Cricetulus griseus: one gene and its partners. The protein of the gene in region 3 interacts with the protein of the main gene of each other region in a pairwise test. Links are inferred from orthologs where the notes say so. Each region holds a gene or a part of one and is shown on either strand. Other genes may lie near its edges. The genes, in order: Nsg1, Tmem11, Kash5, Nrip3, Gosr2, Galnt2 and solute carrier family 41 member 2.

What was found.
Region 1: the proteins of Kash5 (region 3) and Nsg1 interact in binary tests that used the Homo sapiens proteins (3 or more experiments, as listed by UniProt). The two-hybrid records come from large-scale screens. The link is inferred for Cricetulus griseus from reciprocal best matches to the Homo sapiens genes KASH5 and NSG1.
Region 2: the proteins of Kash5 (region 3) and Tmem11 interact in binary tests that used the Homo sapiens proteins (3 or more experiments, as listed by UniProt). The two-hybrid records come from large-scale screens. The link is inferred for Cricetulus griseus from reciprocal best matches to the Homo sapiens genes KASH5 and TMEM11.
Region 4: the proteins of Kash5 (region 3) and Nrip3 interact in binary tests that used the Homo sapiens proteins (3 or more experiments, as listed by UniProt). The two-hybrid records come from large-scale screens. The link is inferred for Cricetulus griseus from reciprocal best matches to the Homo sapiens genes KASH5 and NRIP3.
Region 5: the proteins of Kash5 (region 3) and Gosr2 interact in binary tests that used the Homo sapiens proteins (3 or more experiments, as listed by UniProt). The two-hybrid records come from large-scale screens. The link is inferred for Cricetulus griseus from reciprocal best matches to the Homo sapiens genes KASH5 and GOSR2.
Region 6: the proteins of Kash5 (region 3) and Galnt2 interact in binary tests that used the Homo sapiens proteins (3 or more experiments, as listed by UniProt). The two-hybrid records come from large-scale screens. The link is inferred for Cricetulus griseus from reciprocal best matches to the Homo sapiens genes KASH5 and GALNT2.
Region 7: the proteins of Kash5 (region 3) and solute carrier family 41 member 2 interact in binary tests that used the Homo sapiens proteins (3 or more experiments, as listed by UniProt). The two-hybrid records come from large-scale screens. The link is inferred for Cricetulus griseus from reciprocal best matches to the Homo sapiens genes KASH5 and SLC41A2.

What each region holds. Positions count from the first base shown.
Region 1 is NW_023276807.1:107,106,779-107,111,110, forward strand, and holds the start of Nsg1 (neuronal vesicle trafficking-associated protein 1), read right to left. Parts: upstream 2,808-4,332; 5' UTR 2,649-2,807; intron 2,279-2,648; 5' UTR 2,253-2,278; coding exon 2,124-2,252; intron 1-2,123.
Region 2 is NC_048600.1:74,863,472-74,867,745, reverse strand, and holds the start of Tmem11 (transmembrane protein 11, mitochondrial), read left to right. Parts: upstream 1-1,462; 5' UTR 1,463-1,670; coding exon 1,671-1,726; intron 1,727-4,274. UniProt on the Homo sapiens protein: Plays a role in mitochondrial morphogenesis.
Region 3 is NC_048599.1:154,093,308-154,097,446, reverse strand, and holds the start of Kash5 (protein KASH5), read left to right. Parts: upstream 1-1,310; 5' UTR 1,311-1,388; coding exon 1,389-1,431; intron 1,432-4,139. UniProt on the Homo sapiens protein: As a component of the LINC (LInker of Nucleoskeleton and Cytoskeleton) complex, involved in the connection between the nuclear lamina and the cytoskeleton.
Region 4 is NC_048596.1:90,942,959-90,946,985, forward strand, and holds the start of Nrip3 (nuclear receptor-interacting protein 3), read left to right. Parts: upstream 1-1,217; coding exon 1,218-1,391; intron 1,392-4,027.
Region 5 is NC_048600.1:116,738,649-116,742,945, forward strand, and holds the start of Gosr2 (Golgi SNAP receptor complex member 2), read right to left. Parts: upstream 2,827-4,297; 5' UTR 2,703-2,826; coding exon 2,674-2,702; intron 1-2,673. UniProt on the Homo sapiens protein: Involved in transport of proteins from the cis/medial-Golgi to the trans-Golgi network.
Region 6 is NC_048596.1:201,041,113-201,044,656, forward strand, and holds part of Galnt2 (polypeptide N-acetylgalactosaminyltransferase 2), read left to right. Parts: intron 1-1,164; coding exon 1,165-1,291; intron 1,292-3,544. UniProt on the Homo sapiens protein: Catalyzes the initial reaction in O-linked oligosaccharide biosynthesis, the transfer of an N-acetyl-D-galactosamine residue to a serine or threonine residue on the protein receptor.
Region 7 is NW_023276806.1:152,039,075-152,042,618, reverse strand, and holds part of solute carrier family 41 member 2, read right to left. Parts: intron 1,849-3,544; 5' UTR 1,686-1,848; coding exon 1,134-1,685; intron 1-1,133. UniProt on the Homo sapiens protein: Acts as a plasma-membrane magnesium transporter. Can also mediate the transport of other divalent metal cations in an order of Ba(2+) > Ni(2+) > Co(2+) > Fe(2+) > Mn(2+).

The DNA of each region.
Region 1 (4,332 bases), on a different chromosome or scaffold from region 3:
GGCCTGTGCCTGGCATTGAGCCAGAAAGCCCTGCACTTCAGTGCGTATTATCAAGTTTCACTCCTGGCATGCCACTCTCCTGCAGTAGACAGGGGTATCCACTCCTTGAAGGCATCATCTCAAGGCAGCATTGAGCACTGCCCTGCCATCCTCACATCCCAGCTGCACCAATGTAGCCTTGTGACCTTGAGCACACATTTGGGAGCCACTTTACCTGACCATGAATACAGAAGGCTTCTTCCTGTCCTATCCATAACCTGGAGGGCAAAAGGCCTATATCATCCAGAACTGTGAGGGTGAGGACATCTAGGCCACTTGAATTCAATCTCCATCTACCACTAACTGACAAGTGACCTTGGACAGAGCCTTTCGAACTCTCTAGGCCATCATTGCTACGTCTATCAAATGAGAGCAATGGTGGCGGTTGCCTTGCAGCAACGTGGGCATGTTGAAGTTCAGCCAATGAAGTGCACAGAACAGTGCCTGGTATGGCAAGTGTCCCTAACGAATGTCAGGCATGGCTGCTCCTGATGTGACTGGCAGGTCTTCACACTGGGAAGTCATATCCCCAACCTCCCTGACTCTTGTCAAGTGTGAGAGTCCAACTCTAAGCATGCTAGGGATTTCCATACCCCGGAGGCCAGTGACCTTCAGCAGGATGACCTTGGGTGCATTTGGTGAACTCTGAAAGTCTGTCTCCTCCTCTGTGACTTTGGAACCCTTTTAGCTCAAGGACCTGTTCCTACAGGAATGCCCTTTTCTGGAGCATCCCCATCAGTTACCCCAAGAGAGGAGACTCTACCTACAGAGCCAGCTAGCCTAATCCCAAGCAACAAGACTGGCTGGCAGAATGTGGGACTTGCCTGAAGCCCTCCACCTTGTGGCGGACCGTGCCAGGCAGTTCTGGAACGGAACACACTGAAGGCAACAGAGGAGGCTTGGGCCAAGTACAGGGAATCACCTGATAAAGGTGCCACTTCAGGACACAGGGTTCCTGGTGCAGACCTCTGGTGCTCCTCGGCTGGGTGTATCAAGGTAGGAGGGGTAGAAGTACTCGGGACAGAGTCCTGACACCCCACCATAAGGTGGAGGCCACAGACTCGATAGCTCTGTTCCTCCTATGAAGGCTAGCCTGAGCCAACAGCCGTGGTGTGAGGTGCACAGCTATAACCAGCTGATCCTGCCTTCTCAAATGAAAACATCTGCAACCAGTCCCTTCCCTGCTCCCATGTCACCCACCCCCACCCCACCGCCCCAAAAACCCAGACAATAGAATTAAGGAGACAAAATCACTTTGGGAAGCTAAGTTTGGGAATGAAAGAAGACCCTACTGCAGCTCCCTCTTACACCCCATTCTAACTGCCCAGTGAATGCAGAGCCCAGAGTCGGAGCCTCTTTCTCAAGAACGAACTGAGACAATAAATGTAAAAGCATGTGGGAATCTTGAGCAAGCCCCTTTGTGTGTAGGGACTGTAGATGCAGGGCGTGTGGTTTTACATTAGAGTATTGCAATGCTATCTTCTATGTTAAGGATAGAATTTGCTTTTAAATGGTATGGCTTGAAAATATCTTTATGGAGCAATGATACCCCACTGGATGTAGTACTCAAGAGGGGAGTCTTTTATAAGTCAGAAAAAAAAATGCATCACGTAAAGATGGTCCTGGTTACACTAGCATTAGTGAGTCGGAGCTCAGATATGGGGATTTCACAAAAGGAACAAAGAGGAAAAAGGCTCTATTCCTGAGCACACACCCAGTAAGGCAAGTGGAGCTGAAACTGCACCACCCCCAAAAGGCACAAGGACCAGCTCCCTGGGCTCACTCCTGAACCCCATACTCCTGTACCACAAACATTGCTCCTCATAAGACTCCCCCAAAGTCAAGAGGGGGCTTTCCACTAAAGAATCTTGCCAAGAAGAAGATGTCATCTAAGGCAGGGGGCCTCCAGCATCACCAAACCGAGAATCATGAGGGTACATTGTGCTCGCCCTGCCTTCCTCCTCTTGGCTGAGCCCGCCCCCACCTCTCATCCCCAAAGCGCACAAGGCGTTTCTTTTGTTTCGGTTGCAGCTGAAGATTTAAGGGTGCACACCCAGCAGCGCGGGAATGTCGGGGGCTCATACCTTATCCGGGGGTGGGAATTGCAGCTGGTTGACATCGAGGGGCGTCATCAGGGGAATGGTGTCGAAGCCATCCTCCAGCAGTGGCTGCTTGGTGCCCTTCTCTGCGAAATTGTTCCCCAACTTCACCATGGTTGCGAAAGACTCGAGGCTGCGGCCTGCGGAGGGAGGGCCGGGTGGGGGTCAGGGCGAGCGGCAGCCGGGGCGGGGCAGGGCATAGCCAGGAGGACTCCGCACACCCACCCGCTGGCCCCGCGTCCGCTGGCCCCGCCTGGTCTCCCGAGAGAGGTGGCAGGGACGCGGCGATCGCAGCCAGATCAGGGTCTCCAGGCTGTGTATTGGTGGGCATTTCTAGACGCCCATCCCGCAGAGGGCAGGGCTCATCACGGCCAGGCTAGGGGACACCACCCGTGCCCAGCCTTTGCAGGACGCGTCCCCAGTCCCGCGGCGCTGGCCTCCTGCGCGTCTCCCGCGGCCCTCAGAGTGAGAGTTGCTCCGCCGCCCACCCTGCTCCCCACCCGCACTCACCCCACGCCCGGCTCCGGCAAGTATGGGCTCTGAGCGCGCTCCGAGGCTCCGCGTCGCCCGCTCCCGCGTGCGGCAATGGCGGAGGCGGCGCCGCGGCCGGGGGATCAACGATTGGGTTCTGCGCCTCCCGCCTCTGCGCGCCGCCTCCTTCCTGCCGCTCCCGGGGGCCGCGCGCGGGAGTGCGCGTGGGGCCGCGCCGATGCGCCTCCGCCTTGACGCAGCGCCGCCCGCGCGCGGATCGGCTGCACAAAGGAGCACGCGGCTGCAGTGGGGGGTCCCCAGGGGGACCCCACGCGCGATTAGACCCGGGGAAGGAGAACCTGAGACTCCTGATGCCGAGCTGGGGTATCCCCCAGCGGTATGCACAACCCTGGGGCGATGATCGAGTGCAGGGTTGTCGGGAGGGAGGAAGGGAAGGGAAGTGGGAGATGTAGGGAAGCCAGGAAGCCCCAAAGGGAGGGAGAGAGGGTTCTGGCACACCGCGGAGCCGATTTGAGGATCCTGAAGGATGAAGAAGGTTTTCGGAGGACAATGTGGATGACAGACCTAGGTGGCCCTTAGTGTGAGGCTGGGTTGGAGGGGGATGAAAACGAGGGCGTGTCTCTATAAATATAAAGAGGGAGGTTTAGTGCTGTCCCATGGCTACGGATGCATGCCTGGGGTGTGAGGACAAGAGGACAGGTGTTCAGAGCTTAGGGTGCTACCACGAGAGGCAGGCTAGCCAAAGCTGTCTGCGGTCAGGGAAGGCAAGGATCTCCCCACCGCAGCCTCAGCTCGCCTGGATGGTACTGAGACTCAGAAGGAAGAACGGAAGTTCTAGTGCCTGACTAGTGCCCCAGGCAGATGTCACAGCTGCGCAGATAAAGGCCACTGCACTTAACAGACCTCTAGCCAGACTTGCTTGCAGGAAGGAAAAGCTACTTGGATATGGGAGCGAAGCTACAAAAGGAGTGGGGCTGAGGGTGCACGAGGAGCAGCACCCTGAGAACTTACATGTCCCCATGGTTCTTACCTGGGTTCTAAACATTCTCAGGGGACCCTGAGAAATAATAGAAATCAGACCCTTCAGGAAGAGCCTATGGGTCCAGATTCCAAATTCTCCTGGACAGCCCCTTCTTTAAAGGGGGAGGGAGGGTCTGTTGCCAGGGCTTTCCTACCCAGACTTCTGGCAAGTTCAAGGCTGCCTTTGAGTCAAGGCAGCCTGACCAGGGCCCAGAATTCTCTCTAGAGTGCTTTTCCAGGAGGCAGAGGGAAGGGCCTCCAAGGTACCTGTGTGACATCTTGTTGCCCTCTTAACAGCAGAGAACGGGAGTTAGAAAACACCCAGGCACCAGCCTGCAGGCATCAGGGTGCCTACCAGTCAGGCTGCCTAGTTTGTGCAAGAGAGTGGCTATATCTCCATCTCAGACTCGAGCTGTTTTCAAATCACAGCACTAGTCTACTCTGGAGTCAGGACCCATCCAAGGAGCAATATGGTTGGTCACGCCCTCAACCTCTAAGACTTCAAGAGCCAGGCTATCCTAGAGACAGCTACAGTTATGCTGTGGCTTGTTGGCCTGGGCATTGCTCTTTCCTTCTGTGTGGTTTTCTTTGCTTATATCTGGACCCCATAACAGGCACAGGAAATGCAAAGTACATAAGACACACTGCCACCCTCCATGGACAAAGCATCAGCTCCCACCAG
Region 2 (4,274 bases), on a different chromosome or scaffold from region 3:
GAACACTAGAACCTCACAGGCATCCTAGTAAAGGGCAGACCCTCCTGACCAGCTGCCACTCAGCCTCCCAGGTTAAATGTAAGCTTGGGAGCCCCTGGTCAATGCATAACTTTTTTTTTTCTGCTCATGTCACAATAGGGCAGAGAAGGGTCCAGGCTTCCCTGGGCCATGAGTATAGATCACCATAGGTGGCAAAACCATAGAAAACTGAAGGATGCTGGGAAAGGGAGCATGCCCCTGCACTATTATCAGGGTTTCTCGAGAGCTGAGGGCTTTCCTACCACTTTGAAATGCTCCTGGGAAAGTGAAAGATAGTATAAATAAGGAAGGGGAAAATGGGAAATAAAAAATAGCACAGATTTACCTCCTGGATGAGTCACAGGGTCACCTACTTAGGTTTCTAGGTTCTTGTATCTCAGGACAAAGAATTGTATCCGAGATAATAGAAGCAATTCATTAAAAAATTTACAAAGATACTCAGGAGCTTGGGAATAGGCTAGTGATCTGGTTAAGACTCATAAACTCAAGTCCTTAGCCATAATCTCATGAACCCTTTATAGGCCATTTCCATACCACCTGCCTTCTCTAGGCCAAGTTTGTTTGAGTAGCCCAGGCGGGGAAGGGTTTCCAGGCAATTATCAACTGGCTTTTTCATACCTTATTCTTTTTGTCTTTTTTCTTTTTCTAATGCGTCTGGGTGCTTTACCTGTGTATTTGTGTACCTCGTGTGTGCAGTGCTCATGAGGCCACAAGAGGGCCTTGGATATTACTGGATTAACAGACTATTGTTAGCTGCCATGTGCCAGGAATGGATCCTGAGTCTCCTGGAAGAGTTGTCAGTACCCTAACTGTTGAACCGTCTCTGCAGTCCCTCATACCTTATTCTTGATATCTTTTGCTACACGTTCCTAATTTTCTGCCACACTTGCACTGTGCTACAGTTTGGCACTTGGAGGCAGGGTTGCAGCATTCAATTTGAAAACCAGGAACTTCCTAGAAACCACACAGACCCGAGGTCTTGAAGCATAAAAACTGGCTGGGAGGAAAAGGCATTTTGGGTCAAGCACATCTACAGACCCTCAAAATCTCTGAATTTGCCAGGCTGGCAAGCTCTGGTCAGGAGAGAGGGGCAGTTGACACTGCGGAAGCAGAGGTAACCTTCAAACTGGGGGAGCACGAGTTCTAGACTGCAGATAAGAAGAGAGAAACGGAGGAGGTTAAGCTGCTCAAGTCATTGTAAAGTGTGGGACAGTTGAAACGCAGGCCCCCAGCGGCCGAGGCCACAGTGAAGGGCAAGAGGGCTGAAGCCAAGGGTTGGGCTTCTCAGGCCCTGAGGGCGGGGTCGCCGCGCGAAGCGCTCTGGGAGTGGTAGGCGCTTTCATTCCGCTCTCCTTCAGCCATTCGCTCTGGGCGCCCAAGGACGTCCAGGCGGTGGGCGCAGCAACTCGCACACAGCGACTCGGAGACTCTTTCCTCAGGCGGAGCCCACCTTTTGCCCTCTTGCGCGCGGCAGTTTACAGCAGGCTTCCGGTGTGCGGCATTGTGGGCGTTGTAGTCCGCTCGCAACCTCCCACTGCGTACGAACGGCTCACCGGACTACGTTTCCCTTCGGCCCGCGCGCACCCCGAGCCGCTTCGGCGCCAGCCCCCGACGAGCCGAGAGTCTCCAAGATGGCCGCGTGGGGAAGGAGGCGTCTGGGTCCGGGCGGCGGTGGCTCCCGAGAGAGGTGAGCTGGGCTCGCGACTGCAGGCAGCCACCGACCTTAGAGTCGGCGAAGCCTCTGTGCCACGCGCGACTCGGGGTCGTGTCCTGCCGCACGCGGGGCCCAGTCTTCGGGGCTCTGGTGTGGGAGGAGCGGGCCGGCGCGACGGCCGAGGAGCGCCGGGAGCTCGACTAGGAGGGGTAGCGGCCCGCACTAGGCGGTCTGTGAACCGGGGTGAGCGACTGCGAGGGCCGCCAAGCTGTCCTGCGGAGCGGCGTGCGGGCCCTGGGTCGCTGGCTCGCGCACGTGGCTGTCTGGGCCTGGGCGCCGGACGTGGCGTGGATGGACTCTTGGAAGAGGAGGAGGGTAGAGCGGTGTGCTTCTAGGGGCGTTTGCTGAGAGCAGCAGCGTGCCGGGCGCACCTCCAAGAGCCTGTGCTTGGACGCCTTCTGAGCGGCAGTCATCGCCACTCTTAGAGGGTTCGCTGCAAGCGCTTCTGCCCTAAGTCCTTTAAAGTGACCTTTTCAACAGAATGCGTTTGGGGGCGCTAGGGGTTTGTTTCTTCCAGTGATTTCCGAAGATGAGAGTAGTTGGCGTGTTTCATGTTGAACTTTTGTAGGCTTTTCCTTCTGGGAAGTGTTATTAGCTAGTAGGTTACTAGAAACTGTTCAGTCGTTAGAAGTTTGGGGAGATGGGTGTATATCGGTAGAACTACTGGATTAAGCTGCTCAGTCCGTTTTGCAAAGGCCTCTGCATTTTACTGTAGATGTCAGTAGAAAAGAAAGTTGGGCTTTTTTTTTTTTTCTTTTCCGATGAGTACTGTCAAACATAAAAGTTCTGTCTTCACTAATCTGCATTGTTCTTTTTTGTCTGATGCATCCCATGTACCTTGCTTTTGCTTAGAGAACTTTCCCATCCCACACAATTCTTCCTGCTTGGCAGTAGTGATAGCCTTGGTTTTATTCTTGATTTCAGTTAGGCAAAATAATCTATTGTGCATTTACTGTTCCATGGAAAAGCAATGGCAAAGAGTAGTTTTTCTAACTTTCACTTATTTCTTAGATAAGAACATCAAAAGAGGTTATTTTGTTGTTTTCCATGTCCTTAACACCTTAAGGGATGCTTTCAGACTTTTAATTTCAGCCCCTTAGTAACAGGAAAGAACCTTCCTAGAAGACCCAGTGTCGGACAAAGACACTTTTACTACTCCTGTTGTTTTTTAGAGGCAGGGTCTCACTGTGTAGCGCTGGCTGTCCTGGAACTCACTCTAGTTGAAGTTTTGCTTGAATTCACAGAGATCAGCCTGCCTCTGCCTCTGCCTCTGCCTCTGCCTCTGCCTCCCAAGTGCTGGATTAAAAGTGTGAGTCACCAAGCTCTAGGATACTCTTTTTGTTGTTGTTGCTTTTTTTCCCCCTGAGACAAGGTTTCTCTGTGGCTTTGGAGGCTGTCCTGGAACTAGCTCTCATAGACCAGGCTGGTCTCAAACCCACAGAGATCCTCCTGCCTCTGCCTCCCAAGTGCTGGGCCAGGCGTGGGTCTCCACCGCCTGGGTGCTCTAGGATACGCTTATTCTTGGATACAGACTGAAAGGGCCAAACATGGATGCCTCAGGCATGGGACAAGAGCCTTACACTGTAGCCTTCCTAAGAAAATAGATACAGAGAACTATTTTTCCTTTGTCTTGAAACTAATATTAGTCAAAAATAGTTTGTCAGTCAGTCCTTGATTGAGCTTCAACAGCTTTTAAGGGAATTTAAATGAAATGCAGAAAGATTTTGAGGTAAAACTAGATAGTAGTTGACACTCTTCAGAACAGCTTCTCTTTAGTTCCTCACCTGACAACTAATTGAGGTTATCTGTATGGGGCCTGTAGGTGTTCAGGTTATGACCTTTGGTCAGGAACTGCAGTTTCTACCCATGTGTGCAGATGTTGTGTATCTACCAGGAATGGGGTGTCAGATTTTGTGATTTGAGAGTTGCCATCTGCTCTCCTAGATAATATGTAGTGACTGGAGGCTTCCCCTCTATTTGCCTTTGTGGGAAAGTCCTTGCCAAAGGACTCAGTCTCAGGATCCCATCTCCTTAAGGCCCTCCCACTCTGAGCAGTGTATGGAAACAACCCCACCTGACTAGCAAGCTGACTTCTGGGCACACCTCCATTCCAGCTCACTTGGTGGCCTGACTGGGTGGAGCAGGTCAGAATAATTGTATACTCAGCACCATAGATTATGAGGACTGAGTGTATTATTGGCTCTCATGACATAAGTAAGCTGTTTATGGCTCCTAAGTGACTTTGTTCCATGTCACATTTGGACTGACTCAAATTTCAGCTTCATGTTAAGAGTACTTCAGAGTTGCTCACACCTTGCTGCCTGCCCTATGCTGAAACTGATGGAGATGCAGGGTAGTTTGTGGCAAGGGCTGGAGTGGGCATTGCTTTGAACAGACATCATATTGGCAGTGGCTGCATACTCTGGAGCATATGTTGTATTTATTGCCTTGCGTAATGCTGATTGTCAACTTAGTGTGCATTGGTTCTTGCTCTGCCTGCTTCTTAAGTCCAGAAACACTG
Region 3 (4,139 bases):
GGAAAAATGGTTCAGTGGTTAAAAACACTTGCTCACTTCAGCTTGATGGCTCAAGTCTTTAATCCAGCACTCTGAAGCAGGTGGATCTCTGAGTTCAAAGTTGGGCTAGTCTTCATGGCAAGTTCCAGGCCAGTGAGGGCTACAGAGGGGGACCTTGTTTTGTTTTAAAAAACAAAGGCTGAAACAGTACTCTTGAAAATCCCAGCACCCATGTGGCAACTCATAACCATCTGTAACTCCAGTTCTAGGAAATCTGATGCCCTCTGGCCTCCAAAGATATCAGACACACATGTGGTTCATACACATGTAGACAAAACACTCGAATAAAAAATAAAAATAAACCTAAAGGGGGAGAAAGGCAAGAAAGCAGTCCTGATGAATCAGCTTCCTGATGAGGCAAAGAGATGACAAATTCAAGGCCAAGCTGGCCATATTAGGGACGTTTTGTCTCAAAATGAAAAGGCTGGGCTGTAGCTTGGCAGTAAAGTGTCTATCTGGAATTGACTAGTGGGGCTGGTGTGTGGTTCAGCAGGAGAGCACTTGCCTAGAATCCACCAGTGAAAGATTATTGACAGTGTGGCTCAGTGACAAACGAGTGTGGAGGCAGGGAGAGCAAGGCTGAAAGTGGTTCAGACGGCCAGCAGTCCAAATTCGGGATAAAATGGGCAGTCTCCAGGCAGTGTGGGAGCCAGTTCAGCTTGGTATTCAGTCCCAGGCAGAGTGAAAGCTGTTTCTAGATAACAAGACACAAAGGCAAGGCAAGTCCCAGGCAGAGACCACAGTAGGAGTAGTGGGTTAGAGTTGCTAGAAGATAGAGCATGATTTGGAGAGAAAGCAGCTGGCCCAGGCCACACTGTGCCTCTGTTGCCAGAAAAAAGCAGGCTCTGCCTCAAGGTGATGGGGAACCATGGCCAGGCAGATCAGCTCTGCAGCCTGTGGGGATGCACTGGAGCCTGGAAGGAGGCTGGGACGTGGGCCCAGGGAGAACAAGGACCCAAGGCAAGATTGAGGACGGCAAGAGGAGCACAAAGTGGAGTCTCTAGGACAGGCATGATGACTTGCTAGGTTACAGGGGAGAGAGGTGGCCACAAGCCCTAGGGGCAGCAGTTGACCCCACCCTCTTGTCTCCTGCTTTGATCTTGCCGCCTGCTCCCCATCCCATACCTCAAATCCATAGCAACAGGTTGGAGTTGGGATGGGCATGGCAAACAGGTTCTGAGAACCCTGGGGCAGAGATGGAGCAGTTTAGCGGTGGCTAGTCTGAGGAAGCCATTACTTTGCTTGTCCTTCTAGGAGCTGTCTGGGCAGGCTGTTCCTTTCCCAACCCTCCTATCAGTGGAGGAAGGGTGAGAGCTTCACCAGCTGCAACAGAGAAACAGGAGTGGTCCATGGACCTGCCAGAGGACCCGGCTAGTAGTTCCACTGCACAAAGTAGGTGTCTGCCTGGAAGAGGAGGAAGTGGGAGCTGCGGGCCAGTGTGGGAGCAGGAGAGGTGGCCAGGCAGCGTGGTCAGAAGCAAAGGATGGTGGGAGAAGTGTCGATTGTGTGCTTGCCACGTGTCTGTCCCCATTTGCTCCTCTCTGGAGGGCTATTGGGGACAGAAGGCTGTGCACATGGTAATATCCACACCATCCCACCTCTTCCCACCAATTCCTCCTCTGTTCAGATCGTGGGCTAGTGAGATCTCTTACTTGGGGTAAAACAGGTTCCCTGCCCCGTCTCTTCCTGCTGCACTTCTCTTCCCAACACTGGCATCTGTCTGTCACCTACTTAGTCTAAGACTCTCCCCTGGAGCATGGCTCCTCAAAACCTATTCTACTCCCAGTGTGTGTGTGTGTGTGTGTGTGTGTGTGTGTGTGTGTGTGTGTGTGTGTGTGTGTGTGTGTGTGTGTGTGTGTGTGTGTGTGTGTGTGTGTGTGTGTGTGTGTGTGTGTGTGTGTGTGTGTGTGTGTGTGTGTGTGTGTGTGTGTGTGTGTGTGTGTGTGTGTGTGTGTGTGTGTGTGTGTGTGTGTGTGTGTGTGTGTGTGTGTGTGTGTGTCTTACAGTGCAGGAGGTGAAATCCAGGGTTTTGTGTGTGCTAGGCAACCAATCACCACTGAGCTATGTTCAGCTGTGCTGACCTCTGGGTTTTTGGTTTTTTGAGACAAAATCTGGCTTTGAACTTTTCACCCCTCTACCTCTGTTTCTCAAGTGTTGAGATTACAAGCATGCTCTCCACCATGCTCAGCTCACATATATAACTTTTAATTTTTTTAAAAGAGAAAAGCTGGCAAGGGGCTCATATCTGTAGTCCTGGAACTGAGGGGCTGAGGCAAGAAGATAGAAAGTTAAAGGCCAAATCAAGCAGGTGATGCAAATGGTATTAACTGATTTTATTTAGCTTTGTATGCATATAAACTGTTTTCTGCATTAAGCAGCATAAGAACATGCTGAGTTACTCCTGTTTTCCGACATCTTTGAGAACTAGTATGTGATGTTTCACACTAACACTGTTCCATCTTGGCCTGCTCAAGTGCAGGCAGCCTGTGCCGACTGGTGCTGCTAGCCAGAGCAATGCCGGCTTCATTGTGGAAGCTCAGTGCCTTGTGGGCAGATTCAGATACGTAGGTGTGGGAGCCAGCACACATCAGCTCAGGGAGGAAGGTGCTGGCTAACCGACTGTCTTCTGTGGGCCAGCCTCTGTCTCTGTCTCTCACTCCTGTTCTCTTTCCTGCCTATCTTTGTCTCTGCCCTGACTCAGCAACTCTGTTCCCCAAGAAGCTCTCTCCTTCCTCTACTGTCCTGGTCTCCCCCCTCACCTCATCTCTGATTTCTGACTCTCCATCCCCTGAGGATGAGCTAGAAGGGAAAGCCAGCCTCTGATTAAGAAGCTCTTTCCTCTAGATAGTCAGTTGGGGTCACTGCTGGAGTATCTTGTCTTCCAGGCTCCTGGATGTTTACAGGCAGGCCTGCAGCTTTGCTCAAAGCTGAGATTTGCACATCAGCCTCAGGAGTAACCTCTGCAAATAGGAGGGTTTTCAGGCAGACCAGCATGCCAGGACTAGAGAGAGGGCTGCCTGGCTTACGGGGAATGACCGCCATCTAAACCTCGCCTGCACCAGCAGAGGGCGTGCAGCCACCAGGAACTAGGACCATAGCCAAGTCAATTCCTGAGACTGCCTTTGGGAAGGGAATAACTCAGCCACAGGAAAAGCAAGGGATAAAAGACAGAGATGGCAAAGTAGAGAGAAGGCACTAGGAACAGAGTAACAAGATGGAAGACAGGAGAAAACAGGATGGAGGGACACAGGACAGAAGCTGGACATGTGAGAGAGGTTGGGGAAGAAGTGGAAGAAATATCTCAAAAGAAGTAGAGCTGGGGACCCAGCAGAGGCCGAGGCAGAGGCAGGTGGGTCTCTGTGAGTTCAAGGCCAGCCTGGTCTATAGTCCAGCAGAGGCAGAGGCAGAGGCAGGTGGGTCTCTGTGAGTTCAAGGCCAGCCTGGTCTATAGTCCAGCAGAGGCAGAGGCAGAGGCAGGTGGGTCTCTGTGAGTTCAAGGCCAGCCTGGTCTATAGTCCAGCAGAGGCAGAGGCAGAGGCAGGTGGGTCTCTGTGAGTTCAAGGCCAGCCTGGTCTATAGTCCAGCAGAGGCAGAGGCAGAGGCAGGTGGGTCTCTGTGAGTTCAAGGCCAGCCTGGTCTATAGTAGTTAGTTCCAGGACAGCCAGGGCTACACAGAAAAAACTTTTCAGAAAAAAAAAAAAGATAGAAGCAGGGGCAGAGCTGTGAAGTGGAGGAGGAAGGAGAGGGCAGAAAGAGTGTCTTAGGGTAGTGTCTCTATGTATCAGTGTCCTCACTGGGCCACAGAGTCCTCCTTTGTTACACTGGATGATGAAGAGCAGTAGACCAGCTGAAGTCCACCTCCCCTAACTATCCTGGGCTCCTAGAGCCCTCCCATGGGAGCCAGAAAAGGTCCAAATCAAACTGGTGCAATGAGTCCTGAAGTGTCAGGGGGAGAAAGGGGATTCTTGTGCTGGAAGGCAACTGTGGCAGCTTCTGTTGCTCTGCCTCAGACTCATCTTTAGGAATAGCAGCTGCTGTGGTTCTGATGATCCATGAGTGCCTGTAGTTATGTGCCAAGCAGAGGCCCATTCTCATTCTAT
Region 4 (4,027 bases), on a different chromosome or scaffold from region 3:
GGATGATGGTGCTTGGGGAATACTTTGGCAGCACCGTGAGCAATGGAAAGGAAGGAGTCAGGGACATTCTGGAGGCAGATTGGGTGGTTTGGGCATTTGCCTGTATAAAGAGAATAGTAATGCTATCTCATAGCTGCTGTCCTTCATTAAGATGCTGCCTTGTAAGTGTTCATTATAGTATCTAGCTCGCAACCACAGAGCTCAGGAAAGTGTCGTTATTGTGACTAAAAAGTGCTCTCAGGGTGCAGAGCTTTCTGGTTCATGCCTGCTTCTGTGAGGTGGAGAGAGATGTTGTGATTTCCCAAACATAGAAATGTGATTTGTATTAAGTCATATGTCAAGACTCCAACCCAGAAGGAACAATGGCTAGAAAGTATGAATGAGTCTCAAAGAAAAACAGCTTTTAATTTGCCCACAAGGACGCATTCCACTTCCATCCCCAAATGTAAAGTCTAGCGTTTGCAGAGAAAAATAGGTGCTTTCTTGGTGTTCGTAAGAGCAGGTGTACTCCCTGGCAGGCAGAGGTTTCAGACCAGCCCTGCCTCCCCATCTCTGGTGCTAGGCTCCGGAACAGAGGGTACCAGGGGGCGGAGGGTCCTCGGAAGGCCCCATCCAACCCGTCCTCCTGCCCCCCTCCTTGTCACGTGCCCCTGTGGGTGGGGACCGACCTGAAGTTGGAGGAATCCGTAGCTCTCCCAACTTCGGAGCACAAAGGCTCGACTCTTGAGAAGCTGAGCATGGCTCAGTTGTCAGTGATCCCTGGATCGGCGTGGACAGGTGAGCTGAGAGTCTGAGGGCGGCGGCTGGGGTGGGAGAGGCTGCTAGAGTACAGGGCCCTACAGCCCATCCCATGCAGGGCATGCAGGGCATCCCACGCAGGAGAGGGGACAATTGTGGGAAGCGGCCCCTCTGGACACTCAGCGCCCCGCCGTCAGTCGGTCCACCGCGAGCTGCTCCTGGCTGGCTTTTTCCTCCGGGTGGGTGATGAAGTGGAAGTAGATGATTGACACTAGACACCACGCCCCCCCCCAAGGTGCACCAGAGGGCGGGGCGCTGTGCCGGCCACGCCCTCTCCTCGCGCACTGGCCTCTCCCCGTGACGTCACGCTCGGCTATAAAAGGCGCGGGAGCAAGGTTCCCACAGCGCTGTCAAGGAGCTCGAGGCTGAGGGTGCTCGGGGCGGGGAGACCCGGCCGCCGGGCCGCGGGCGCCTCAGAGATGTTTTACTCAGGACTCCTCACCGAGGGCGGCCGCAAGGAGACCGACATGCGGGAAGCGGCTTCCCTGCGGCAGCAGCGCCGGATGAAGCAGGCGGTGCAGTTCATCCACAAGGACTCCGCCGACCTGCTGCCCCTGGACGGCCTCAAAAAGCTGGGCTCGTCCAAGGACACGGTGAGCTCCCCACCCCGGCCACTCCTGCCTCCGGCCTTCCTCAGGCCGCCACTGTCGCCCAAGCCCTCGCTGCCGCTTTCACTGAGTCACTGTCCGCTCCCTGGCGGGTGCTCGGCAGAGACCCTCCCTATCTCTCATCCCTGGGGACCTCGTAGCTTTCCTCACTCATTCTCTCTCGTCGCAGCCTACTCCAGGGAGCCTGGCTTTCTCCTCCCCAGGACTAGGAAGAAAGACACCCTGCCCGGTCCTATTGCCCTCAGATTTCCTTTGCTCCGCTATTCCGATCTCGAATTTGGCTCCCGGGGCTGGAACCTCACAGCGAAGTCTCAGCTCCCACTGCCTCCTCGCAGGCTGCATGGCCAGTCCCGTGTCCCAGACAGAGGTGACTCGTAGTGGATGACTGAGAAACAGCGGAAAGCGAGGTTTCGTGACAGTTGCTGAATCTAGATGACTTTGGTTGTTTCTACTGCGCCCCGCTCCCTGCCGCCCAAATCTATTTAGTTTAGTTTTGGCCTTAATCTACCTACCTTTGATTTTCTACCCTGAGTAGGGGTGGGGCAGGCAAGGGAAAGGCGGGGCGCGGGGGGGGGTTGAGATTGAATATTCCCAGAACCTGAATATCTCATCACTCTCATCTCTCCCTCTTCTTTAGTCCTCCCTCTGAAGAGTGAATGCTGATGGCTCCATCTCACAGACCAGCTAATGCATGCACATAGTTGGAGCTGGGGTTGGTGCAGTCTTTTTATTTCTGGCAGGATTATTCTTGGTATTAAGTAGAAGTCCAGGATGTGGGCCAGAATCCAAAACCATATTGTCCTCCATCTATTGAATAGGGGTGAATGGCTGAGGGATATGACCTATATTTAATTCTCATCCCTTTCTCACAATTTTTTTTTTTAAATCTAACTCTGTAGTTTCATCTGGAGTTTGCTTTTGCTTGTATTTTTTTTTTTTTTTCTGAGACGTCAGGGTCTTGCTATATATAACCAAGGCTGGCTTGGCCTTCAGTACATAGCCCGAGTTGGCCTCTAGTTCTGGATCCTCCTGCTTCAGCCCCATGATTGTTGAGATTATGTAGGTATGCATTACCACTCCCAGCTCTGATGGTTTCCTTGTATCTATAGTTTCCTTATTATCTGCAGAGAAATTTGTGAAACATTGTCTTTTGCAGAAATAAATGCTCTAGGTAATCTTTCTAGTATTTTTATATTTTGAGCTTCTGAAATACTTAATTTTGAATGTGGTTGTTGGCCCTGAATCATTGAAATTGCTATTTCTGGCCCCAGTATGGCAATGAAGGCCAGTGCTTCTGCTTTTTTAAAAAATAGTTCTACTGATTCATCAGTACCAAAGATTTTCCCTTCCTACCATTAGATACTCTCATGAAGGGAAAGAGCTACTCTAGTTATCTTACTCGGTTTTTCTAAAAGCTGTTTTCCATCTTGAGCCTGGGTATAGTTGATCTAGTCATGCTAACCCAGAGTGATGAGTGATGTTAATCCTATCAAAGAGATAACTCTTTCTTACCTTCTTGCACTTAAAAGCATTCATGACTCATTTGGCAAACTCAGTTTGAATCTTCTCTCCTTCAGACCAAAGTAATCCTATTCAATAAGGTGGGAGGTATTATGAAAAGAATTAAAATGTGGACGTTTAAAATGCTGGATTTAAGGTATAGATGTTTGGTTTCCCTGGGTGGCTATAAGGAGTTCCCTGATGAGAATCACAACATCCTTCTTCCTACGATTCCTTATATGACTTCGAACTATGTAAGGGTAATTCTGTTCTGACTCCCTTCATCACAGCTGAGCCACGAGGAGTGGATAGCATAGAGCATAGTTGAAGAGGTGGCTTTCAGGGTGTAGCCATTGGCATGACACACAGCAGTTGACTGTGAAACCCTGAACTATGTTTCACACTTTCTGTACCCCCATTTTCATAGTTAATCTTCCTCTAGCACTGTTCTCACACCTTTAATGTGCAAGTTATTTAATGTGCAAGGAGGAACCAGAAAACATCACAGAAACCAAGGCTGATTGAAGGAGGGCAAGAAGATGCAAGTGATGGGGAGAAACAGCATCTTTGGAACTGATGTTGCAGGCTCAGTACTGTCTCAGAAACGATTTTAGAAACATATTCTTATCAACTCATTTACAGACAAGATAGATCATGCTGACTCCATTTGGAGGGTATTAAAATTAACAGTAGTTTTTACTTGAGGTAGTTTATCAAACAGCCCCAATAGAAAGGGACAAAAGGAAGGCATAAGAGGATACAAATTCAGCTTTTATTGACTCGGGCTTGAGCAGTGTTAAGACTGTATTATTTTTCATCATACAAGTATCTTATGTTTTAATTATGCTGCTGACTTTTCTGAATTATCTACCTTGTATTACGCTGTTTCTGCAATGTTTACGGTTTGATATTAACATTTTTGGTTTGGCAAATGGCATCTGTAAGGCAATCAAAGATAGCCATGTTCTCTTGGCCCCAGGATAGTGCCTTTACCCAATTGCTTTGTGTGTGGAGTTGGCTGCTACAAAGTCTGCTGTGGAAATTAATCATATCTTATTAATCTGGCTCATTTATTTTTGTCATTTCATTGTATTTGGATTTTTGTGCTAAATTAAGAATTA
Region 5 (4,297 bases), on a different chromosome or scaffold from region 3:
ATGGGGGTGCAGACATGAGAAAAAAAAGAAGTTTCAGGCTTTTGTAACATGGGGTCCACCATGGACTTGGGTGACAATATAGCTAAGCAAAGAGCAGGTACACATTAAGCAAGAAGCATTGCTGTTATTTTTTTTAAAGCTTTACACAGGTTGTAGCAAGAATTCTAAATGAAATTGCTCTTTAAAGAAGTCAATGAATCAGGGCTGGAGAGATGGCTCAGAGGTTAAGAACACTGTCTGCTCTTCCAGAGAACCCAGGTTCAATTCCCAGCACCCATATGGCAGCTCACAACTGTAACTTCAGCTGTCAGGGATTTGACACCCTCCCACAGACATACATACAGGCAAAATACCAATGCACACAAAAATAAATAAATAAAAAATAAATAAGAAGTCAATGAATCTGTTGGGCCCAGTGATGGTAATATCTATAATCTCAGCAGGAGTATTTTGAGTTAGAGAACAGCCTGGGGACTGAACCAAGTGGGGAAGAAAAGGTCATGAAACTACCTACCCACCTCCACCATACACAGTGACTTTGTGTGCTCACTGCCTCTAACCACCATGAGCAAGATAGGGCTTGGGAGTTAAAGGCTCTCAGTTGCAAATCTAGTTCAACTATGCAAGATGACAGACACTTAAGTCATTTAACTCCTTGGTGCCTCTGTCTTAACTATACAGAGCTGCTAATGGTTAACAATAATTTGAGAGCTTACAGAAACTAATGTTTAGGTGTAACCTCAGCAGCATCAAGTTAAACTGCTGTTGCTTTTAAAGTAATGAGTGTAGTGGTGGTACACATCTTTTTTTTGTTTTGTTTTTTGAGATAGGTGGTACTCATCTTTCTCTGTGGTGGTACACATTTTAATCCCAGCACATAAGTGGCAGAGGCAGGTGGATCTCTGTAAGTTCCAGGCCAGCCTGATTTTTATAGTGAGTTCCAGATCAGCTAGGGCTACACAGTGAGACTCTATCTCAAACAAACAAACAAATAAAGTAGTGGGTTAACCTGCGTGTGGTGGTGCTCACCTGTCGTCTTAGCACTTGGGTATAAGTGGTGGTAACATCTATAATCCCAGCAGGAGGCCAGTCTGAGCCACACAGCAGGTTATAGGCTAATCTTAGCTACATAGGGAAATCCTGTCTTGAACACACACACACACACACACACACACACACACACACACACACACACACACACACACACACGATTTTCACATCTTCCACTCTGCCTCTGTAGCTAGTTTTTACACCCCACAAGGCAAATTGACAAGTTGGTCTTGAGATAATAGTTCTTAAAACAAACTACTCATTAAAACCACCTGGAAAGCCTGTTCACTACAGAGCTGTTTGCATCTAAGACCTACTTAACCTGCATTGTTTAGAGATGAGATCCAGAATGGCAGACTGGACAATACAAAGAACAAATATAACCATCTTTACAAACACTAGTATCTCAAAAATGGAAGCCTGGCGATTAGCTTCTCCATAAAGTTCACCTTAGTGGACAAATGCTGAAGTATAAAATGTCCTGTTTTTCATCTTTTTTTTTTTTCATTCATTTGGTGCTCGGGACTTTTCCAGTTATCTGACTTTAAATAATTGATTTAATGTCAGTGTACTTTCACAATAAGAGATAATCACAGATTAGGTTCAAAGTTCTAGAGAGATGTTCTAGAGAGTATGTTCTGATGTATGTTTTGTCAATTCAGCAAATAGCATATTAACCTCAATGCACTGCTAGGCCCATGTAAAGGATCGGTTCTCGGGCTATTTTTTTAATCTCTTCCTACCCTTTTTACATAATACACAAATTATCATTATAATGTAGTTTCCGAATTTTCCCTCTCCCAAATCACTCTGTTGGCAAAGTAAAAAGAGAACCATAAACTTCGAATATAAGAAAGAAAAAGAATAGCCACGATCTTATTTCCATTCCTTTTGTTATGAGTTTACCAAGGAGGCCGGATTGACTAGCTTATTTCATTTTCAGACCCAGGGTGTATGACAGTTCGGTGTTGTTATAAAATCAATAGAAAGGCCTTAAAACGGCGTTAAGTATGGCCCTTATCATGTCCAGCTACATAACACAGCAAGTTCCCAAAACACAGGACAATATGAATAAAGGGCACATCACGGAAACTAATTTAGTTATGAACAGACAATCTAAAACTCAACTTTCCTTAAAGCTAACTTGTAACCCAATATGACTAACAATAATAGTCTAGGTTACCTGTATTTCTCTGTGGCACGAAAATGTGTTCTTTAATGTCCAACCAAGAATACAAAACACTTTTTTCGCACAGCCCCTGACACTCCCACTAAGCAATGAACTCATGGACACGGGCTTCGTCAACTGCTCCTCTGTTCTCGAAGCTCTACCAACCCGGAGGACTAAGCTGGCAGGTGATGGACAATGCACTATAACCTGTGTGTTGCTATTTTCCCCTCCCAACAGGCAGTCACGGTTTGCAGCAGGAGCTACCCGGCCCAAGCTTCGCGCCCACACCGGCCCCCTCTCGCGGCGGAGGACAGACATCCCGCAAGGGACTGAGAGATGCGGAGCAGCCCCGGCGGAAACGCTCGACCTCCACCATGGCAGTCGCCAAAGCCCCGAGCCCCGGGAGCCGCCCACCCGGCCGAGCCCAGCCCGCTCCCCAACGCAGCCCTCACTTGTGCGTTTGTTGGTACAGCGGCTCCATGACGCCGGCCGAGCCGGCCTGCGGCTTCCTCGGAACACGTCCTCACAGCCCCACTTCCGGCTTCCGACTTCCGGTCTCAGGACCCGCCCTCCTGAGTAGGGCGTCCGCTGGTGCGCCTGACCCGAGGTGGTTGTGAGGTCGGAGAAGGGGTTGCGAGAAAGGAAAGCCGTACGCGAGGGGTGGGTGTGGCTCGACACTTGGCCCGGCGCGGAGCCCCGGGGAAGTTTTCTGCTGGGGCTTGGCTTCAGGTTTGAATCAGGTATCGGAGAGGACGGTCGCGGGGTACTGACGTCAGAGCCTCAGGGAGAAGTCGCTGGCGCTTTCCGGCTCGGCTTTTTCACTGTGTGATTTCGGGTCTGAGCCGATTTCCCTCCTCAACGCGAATGCTTTTCCTGTCCCGAACTTGTCTGCCCACTAGTCTTCCCATCGCCTTCTGTTGATTTCCGTTAAGCCCACACACAGTGAGTGCGCGTTTAACATGTGTCCTGTGTGACGCGGAACAACCAAATTCCTCCTGGTCGGACTAGAAAAGGAAATACGATCTGTATACAAGTAAACATTCCAAAAGGTAGAAAAACCTCAATAAGTGCAAAGATAATAAACTGAGCTGGGGCTGTCGTCGATGGGAAATTTTTAAAAGACATGAAGGGCGGGTGGCATTTGGAGGAGGACTTGGAAGGGCTCAAGCACTTGTCTTCACCTAGGCCCGTCTCATTTCCATCCATCTAGGTGCTTATCTACAGTTCCTCCCAAGGGAGGAGTTGTTCCTCTTCCTTTAGTGAGTTGTAACTTCTATTTTCTGTATCCCGCATCCCTCCCAGTTTTGTGTCCCAAGAGACTGCCTGCCCGTTTTCATTCTTTCCCTAACATTAAATTTCCCACACAGTAGATGTTTACTGAACATCTACTGTGTGCCATGCACAGACGCGTGGGATAGGAACACAAGCAAAACACATTCCTGAAGTTTCTCTTTCTCACTGTCTATTGACAAGGTTCATAACCTTGAGGCCTAGTAGCAAGCAACATTTAGGCTATCACTGATGTAAGGACCATTTCCCAGGAGAGGAGCTAGAGGGATCCAGGAATCAAGAAGCATGGGTATAGGGCCTTCAAGAATCAATGGAAGGTTTGAGGGTGGGACGGCTGCATGTCAACTATAGTTGATTGGACAGTACGATTGGGGATCATTAGATAAAGGGCTACTTTATTATATTTTTAGTACCTCAGTGGTGAGGAAAATGCAGGGAAATATGTGTACTTGTATGTACCGGTAAAATTGTTTTGGGGTCGTATGGGGCCCTAGGTAAATATTTTTGTGGGCCTTGCTATGTAGGTCTTTTGTTTTTAAATTGTATTACAAAATCCATGGCCCCATATGAAGAACAGTAAGGATAAATAACAGAAAAGAGGAATCTTCATACTCAATTATTTTGTAATAAATACAGCAAGGACTCCTTACAGTATTCATACAACACAAGCCCCTGTTTGGGCCCAGTAACTATATATCTGTTCTTGTCCTTTACTTTTTGAATGTGCTATTTCTAGCCACCATGAAGAGAGAGAGACAGAGAGAGAGAGAGAGAGAGAGAGAGAGA
Region 6 (3,544 bases), on a different chromosome or scaffold from region 3:
AACAGCAGCAGCATGGGGATGTCCACGGCTCATGTGAAGTCATGGTTGAAAGGAGCTGTCTTGTGCTCAGCCTTGAAAGTAGCCTATCTGGCCTCCAGGCTGCCCCTTGGTAGCTCAGCAGATGCCCTGCCCAGAAAGCTCACTGTTGAGTCTTCCTATAGGCACATTCATAGGAGTTTTCTTTCTGAAATAGAGGTCTTACTCAAAGTTTTGTTTGATGCTAGAAAAGTTGAGAACCCCCTGCATCTGTTCAGTTGGAGCTGGCCTCATAATGCAAGGGGATTGGTTAATGGAATCTGTTCTTTCCAAGGGAATTACTCCTATGACTGTAGCTTGCCCTCCTTTCTCTCCACTCTTGGGCAGGACTTCAGACAACACTGACCAGGTGACATTCAGACTCCCAGCATTGCTGCCATGATAGCATGCTGGTCTAGAATATTTAGCTCTCCATTGACTTTATGGTTTGCAAAGATCCTGCCTCATTTTTTTTTTCCTGTTTCCCTTCGGAGGTTCTCCTGGTTCTGTAGATTTCTCATCATACCAGCATGTGCTGATGGGGATGGCCTATGGCCTAGAGAGAAGTTCGTTCTTCTATGGTGTCTTTCAGAGTGGCACTTGTTGATTTTCCTGTTTAAACTTAGTTGTCTTGCTCAGGTTAGGGGACTGTCCCTGGCCTTTACCTTGGAACTTGGTTGGTACCTGGACCTGTTGATACATGAGAGCAATAGGCAAGGATTCTCCCCCCACACTACCACTACCACCACCCCCGCCCCAAAGGAAAGCCCAATGCATCCTGCCTCTTGGTTAGTGTGGAGGATCAGGGTCTGTGCACTCATCTCCAGTTGACAACTGTGGTGTTACTGGAGTGCACGTAGTCTTAGTCTGGGAGACATCTGCTTTCAGACCAAAAATCATCCTTTGGAGACGTCCGGTCCAGTGGTTTCCATGCATGTTCAATTTTGGGTGTGCTGTGGAGTTGGCCTATCTGGGATTCAGCCAGCATTTCCTCTATAAAAAGTTCCAGATCAGGTTCTGGAGAAGCAGCCCCTCATTGGTTTCCCTTGGCAGTTGAAAGTGAACTATGGTAGGTGGCTAGGGCAGGGGTAGCTGTGCCATGGAGACAGCAGCTATGACAGACTGATGGTTGCCAAATTTTCTTACCAGAGATCTCATTCCGAGTGTGGCAGTGCGGTGGCAGCCTTGAGATCATTCCATGTAGCCGTGTGGGACATGTGTTCCGGAAGCAGCACCCCTACACGTTCCCGGGTGGCAGTGGCACTGTCTTTGCCCGGTAAGTAGTGAGAGGCCAGACCAGCTGTCTGCTTAGAAGACACCCCGGAGCTGTGTGGGGACAGTGTCCTTTGAAAGGCATGGCCCCCAAGCTGAGAAAAGGTGCAGTAGCTAGTGCGCGGGTATTCTAATGAGAAAACTCCAAAACAGTCTCACTGTGCCCCATGGAGGTCTCAGAAAGGCACTGTGGCAGGGAGGGGTGCAGATGTGGCCACTAAAGGTGGGGTAGCAGGGGAGTTAGCACTGGGACATCAAGGAAAGACTACCATGTGATGATCACAAATATCTCAGAGAGGCAACTGGTTTTGTGCTGTATCGCACTCACAGTGCAAATAAGAGCAGTAATTTGTTCTTCCTTCATGTACTGCAGTAACAAGTACTGCTGGCTGAGTCATCATAAAAGCACCATTGTTGGCTAACTGTCCTGATGGCAACACATCTGGAGCCAAGGTGTCCACTCCTGCCAAGGGCTGTCCTAGTGCCCCACATAGTAAAGGGTAAGAGAGGCGAAGGGCATACCAGAACAGCCACAGTCTCGTGACAGTAGAGCTCCATGGCCTGGCCACTGCTTGAAGTTCCTGCCTCTTGGTGTCATTTCAATACAACTAAATTTCAGCATGAGTTCTGAAGGAGCAGACATTGAAACCATATCAGAAGGCAAGTCACACTGCACTCCAGCCAGAAGACATCATGGCTCATAACTGATTAGTGATTGGCAATCAATGTTAGTAGACAAAAACTGAAAAGCTGCTTGGTCTAACCAGGTTTTTCCTGGGAATCTTTTCCAGTTCTAACATGGTAGCACACACCTTTAATCCCAGTGCTCAGAAGGCAGAAGCAGGTGGCTGTCTGTGAGTTTGAGGCCAGCCAAGGTTACATAGTGAGGCCCTGTATAAACAAACAAACAAAAAAATACCAAAAAACCTGAGTCAGACCTCATGGGGGCACAGTGTGGAATTAGACCTTCAGGAGCAGACAGCAAAACCTCTAAGCCAGACAAGATGTTTCTAATGCTCGTCTGGTCAGCACCATGGGGAAATGCAATTGGGCTAACTGGGACAGGTTTGACAGATTAAAGGCACTCAGAGCTCCCTGTGGAGATGGCACGGGAGTCCACTGGGCTGCTAACGTTGGGTGTGTTCAGACTGTCAGACCCAGGGGAATATCAGTGCTAGAGTCTGCAGGATGTTTCAGAGGATCTGTCCGTGGTCACTTGCCTGTGTTTCTGGACCTGTTCAGAGACAGGAGCTGGTGGCAGTGCCATGTCAAGAGGCCTCTCACTGCTTGGCAGATGGGAAGTGGAGGGCAAATTGGGCATGCCTCCACCCCCTACCTTTCACCATCTCCAACATCACCACCATATTGTGACTCTACCTAAGAATATGGCCATTGGTTAGGTCAGAGCCTTGATGTAATCATTTCTGCTTCTCAAAGACAAACCCAGAGACCCAGGGGTGTTTCATCATCTGGGCACTTCTCAGTGCAAAAACCTACATGTCTACATGTCCACAACCATTCATCAGTTTTTCCACTGTACACTGTGAAGTGAGGACATTTTCACATACATTTCATTTCTGGTTATTGACCTTGAGGTGAATCTCCAGGGTTAGCACCAGGAGTCCGAGGATGGGCACGTTTGCATCTTGTCTCAGTGGCAACAGTCTGGCCCCTCCCCCAGTGAGGGACAACAGGAATATTTATCACTTTATTGGGAAGATGGAGGCCCCACATGGAGATGGATTTAGTAATTACAGCTCAGACAGTGTGACAGGTTCAGCATTTAAAAGGCTTTACTGCAGAGAAAAAGCTTTACCTGCAGGGTGACCACTGCCTGCCTGCCGTGCTCATTTTGGAAGAGCATGATAGGCCATGTTTCATGTAGCAGAGGGTCTGCTGGTGTCTGTGCTTACAGTGGCCCTTCCTAAGTGTTGTGGCTGCAGGCTTTCTTTATGAACCAGAGGAACCCCACACCTGGGCTACGATGTCCCCACCTCTTCATGCTGTCATTTCTAATTTTCACATGACTTCCCTCAGCCTCAGCTGAGGGCCAACTTCACTTCCCAGTGTGTTAGTGGTGCTGCATCCCCTCACACTGTGGAGGCTGGGGCGCTGGAGTCTCCTGCTGTGGCCTCCATGGCACAGCAGGGATTTTGTCTCAGGAGTGTCTGCACTGTCCTTGCAGCTTCTGCCCGGGGATACCTTGTGCTGTAGTGATTGATGGTGGTTCCATGGGCTTAAACTGAGCACCCTCCCA
Region 7 (3,544 bases), on a different chromosome or scaffold from region 3:
GGCAAGGAACCAATCAGAAGTTAGCTGGTGGTGCTATGCTTTATGGCTCTGGGTGTGCTTTACTGACAAGCGCACAGCAATGACATGCAGAGCATAGCAACTGCCCTGGGAGGACCTATGGGCCATAACAACCAGTTGGCCAATCAACACAGGGCAAGCACTCCAAGCCTGGAGGCACACCAATCCTGAGCCTGTGCATACCCCTAGACACTCCCCTTACGCTGCCCTATAAGATCTCTATGCAACCGCTTCGAACTGTCTTTTGTAGCCATCCACAATGGTGGATGGGTGAAAGACCAGAGCTAACATGGGGTTAGCTAGTTAAACAATAATAAAGCCTCATGCAGTTTGCATCAAGCTTTCGACTCAGCCTAGTGATTGAGGTGGCCTTGGTCCTGGGCTAAGATACTGGAAGCCTGAGCTTTCCGGGGGGGGGGGGGTCTTACAATACCCTATTGACAGACAGGGGCAATGAAGGAGGAAAGGAAAAGAGAAGGAAGGAGAACGGAGAGGAGGGGAGAGGATGGGAGGGGAGTGGAGGGGAAGAGGAGAAGGAGAGGGGAAGAAAGAGGGGAGGGGAGAGAAGGGGAAGGGTTGGAGCGAGTAAAGCATAAGGACCTAGATTCAATCCTCAGAACCTATGTTGACAAAAAAGAAAGCTAGTCGGGAGGGATAGCACACACCTCTATTCCCAACACTTGGGAGGCAGAATCAAAAGCAGCTGGATCTCCGTGGGTTCAAGGCCAGCCTGGTCTACATAGTGAGTTCCAGGATGGCCAGGGAGATGTGGAAATTCTTGTTTCAAATTAATTAATGAATGAATTAAAAATCCAGAAAGTCAAGCACAGTGGCACACTCATAATCCCAATGCTGAGGAGACAGAGACAGGCTGGACCCCTAGAGTGTCACCAGCTGCCAACTGAGTCAGTAACTTCCAGGTAGAAGTGAGAGACCCTGCCTCACAAAACAAGTGGAAAGCAACTAAGGAAGACATCCAAGGTTGGCCTCTAGTGCACTGGAGCCCATGTGCAAAAGCGCACGCACGCACGCACGCACGCACGCACGCACGCACGCACGCACGCACGCACGCACGCACGCACGCACGCACACAGAAACTAAAGATGAAAACTCACCTGTACTATGTCCAAAACCATGCCGGCAGAGACTGTTCCAAACCCAGCCAGCAAGAATGGCACGAGTATCTGCAGAGCCATGATGCCACTAGACTCCTTGGGTAGCTTCTGGTTTGTTTCCACAATAACATCATCACCCTCACTGGACAGATCTTCGTCCTGTAACATGGCTGTGGTTTCTGAAGCCTCCCTCCCATCACAGTAGTTATAGCTGGCATAGTCGTCATATTTGGGGCTGCAGCTGGCTGGAGCATGCCCACTGCTGCTGTGGAAAGCCTGCTCTGAGAACTCGTGGTAGTCCAGATGTGGCTCTGACCTCTTGCTGAAGGTCTGGGCTGCAACTGACAGTCCATCCTGCCAAATGCCATTTGCTTTTTTATGCCTGTCTTCCTGGTTCTTCTGGTAAATGACTGGCACCATACTTAAAAGTAAGTTCAAAAACTTGTCAGACTGAATTGTGTTTAAATTTAAAGTCCAATCTACAAAACCTCCTCCACTATCTGGACTGCCACTTGTCTTGCAAGTGACAGATCTTCCTTTACTGTGAGTCATATTGTCATCACAAAAAGCACTGTATCCTTCAGACTCAAGCTTCGTGGAGCATAGCAGAAGCAAAGTCACACCAGTATTTGCCGAAGTTAAGCCATTGACTTTACTGGACAGGAAACGTTTCCTCTGGTAAAAAACATTTACCAGTTCCAGAGAGGGATTCAATCTGCAAAGGAAAAAATAAAATTTGAAACTTAGAGGCCAGGCGTTGGTGGCTCATGCCTCTAATCCTAGCACTAGGGAGGCAGAGACAGGCTGATCTCTCTGAGTTCAGGACCCGCCTGGCCTACCAAGTGAGTTTCAGGACAGGCTCCAAAACAATACAGAGAAATCCTGTCCTGAAAAACAAACAAACAAACAAAAACTTAGATTAACCACACTTATACTAATTTTCATATAAGTGCAGGAGCCATACTCTATTCCAAGAGTTGGACACAGATCTGTTTTGTGACACACAACTGCATTTTTAATAAAAATACAGTGCAGAAGCCAGGTGTGGTAGTGCACACCTTTAATACTACTAGTAGTATTCAGGAGGGAGAGGCAAGCAGATCTCTAAGCTTGAAGCCAGTGAGTTCCAAGCCAGTCAGGAGTACACATCGAGATCCTGCCTCAAAAAGGACAAAACAAACAAAATGTGTAAACATTTTATAATCTATCTTGGGTAAAAGTGTTTCTATTTTTGTACGTTTCATGTAACTGAAGCCCATATGAGGTCTTCGACTGCCTCTGAAGTTCTACAGGGGATACATTTAAGATACAAAGTGATGGCATCTGCTGCACATGGTGGCATACTCCTGTGGTAGCACTTAGGAGGCCAAGTAGAGGACTGCCAAAAGATAGAGACTGGCCTAGGCTACAGAATGAGACCCTCTTTCTAACAAAACCAAAAGGAGGAGGAGGAAAAGAAGCTCCTATCACTATGGAGAGGACTCAAAATTAAATTGTGCTTGTTTCTGAGTTTCAGCACCAAAATAAATAAGTAGTCTCGGCCACTTATACATGTCAATATAAAAAACACAATAAAGTATATACCATGATACTGTATTAACTAATAAGCCATATTCCTTTACTTATAGGTTATTACACATTTTTCATTAAAATATGAAGAGACAAAGATGACATTTACTGTAAAAACACTTTATAGGTATCCTGAATACAGTACAGGGCATTTAGTCCACATATAAAACTAGGTTAGAGTCATCTATCATTCTCATATACAAAACAATCATTAAATTGACTTAAGAATATATTCCTTAGCTGGGTGGTGGCGGCGCACAACTTTAATCCCAGAGCTTGGGAGGCAGAGGCAGGTGGATCTCTGTGAGTTCAAGGCCAGTCTGGTCTACAAAGTGAATTCCAGGACAACCAGGGCCGTTACACAGAGAAGCCCTGTCTTGAAAAGCCTATGTATGTATGTATGTATGTATGTATGTATGTATGTATGTATGTATACACACACACATATATATATGTGTATATATATATATACACACACACACACACACACACATATATATATATATATATATATATATATATATATATATTCCTTAGATTATTTAGGACATAACTAAAAATAACGATAAATACTCAGTCCTCCATTTTGTAAGCCAACCAAAACAAAGCTGGTAATGCCTTTCCGTGTTCCTCAAGTCTTCTAGGGTCTAATGTCCCCAAGTAGGTCTCTGACTGTTAGCTAGTGACTAGAGTCTCAAAAGATACACACAGATAGCTAGTGTAGCTAGTCACCAACTGGCACTGAGCTGCAAGGCCATATATGCCCCCCCTGGCAGCACCTAACTGCACAGTAACTTCATGATGCCTCAGATGTTTCTCAGGAACATGCAGGCTGTCTTACA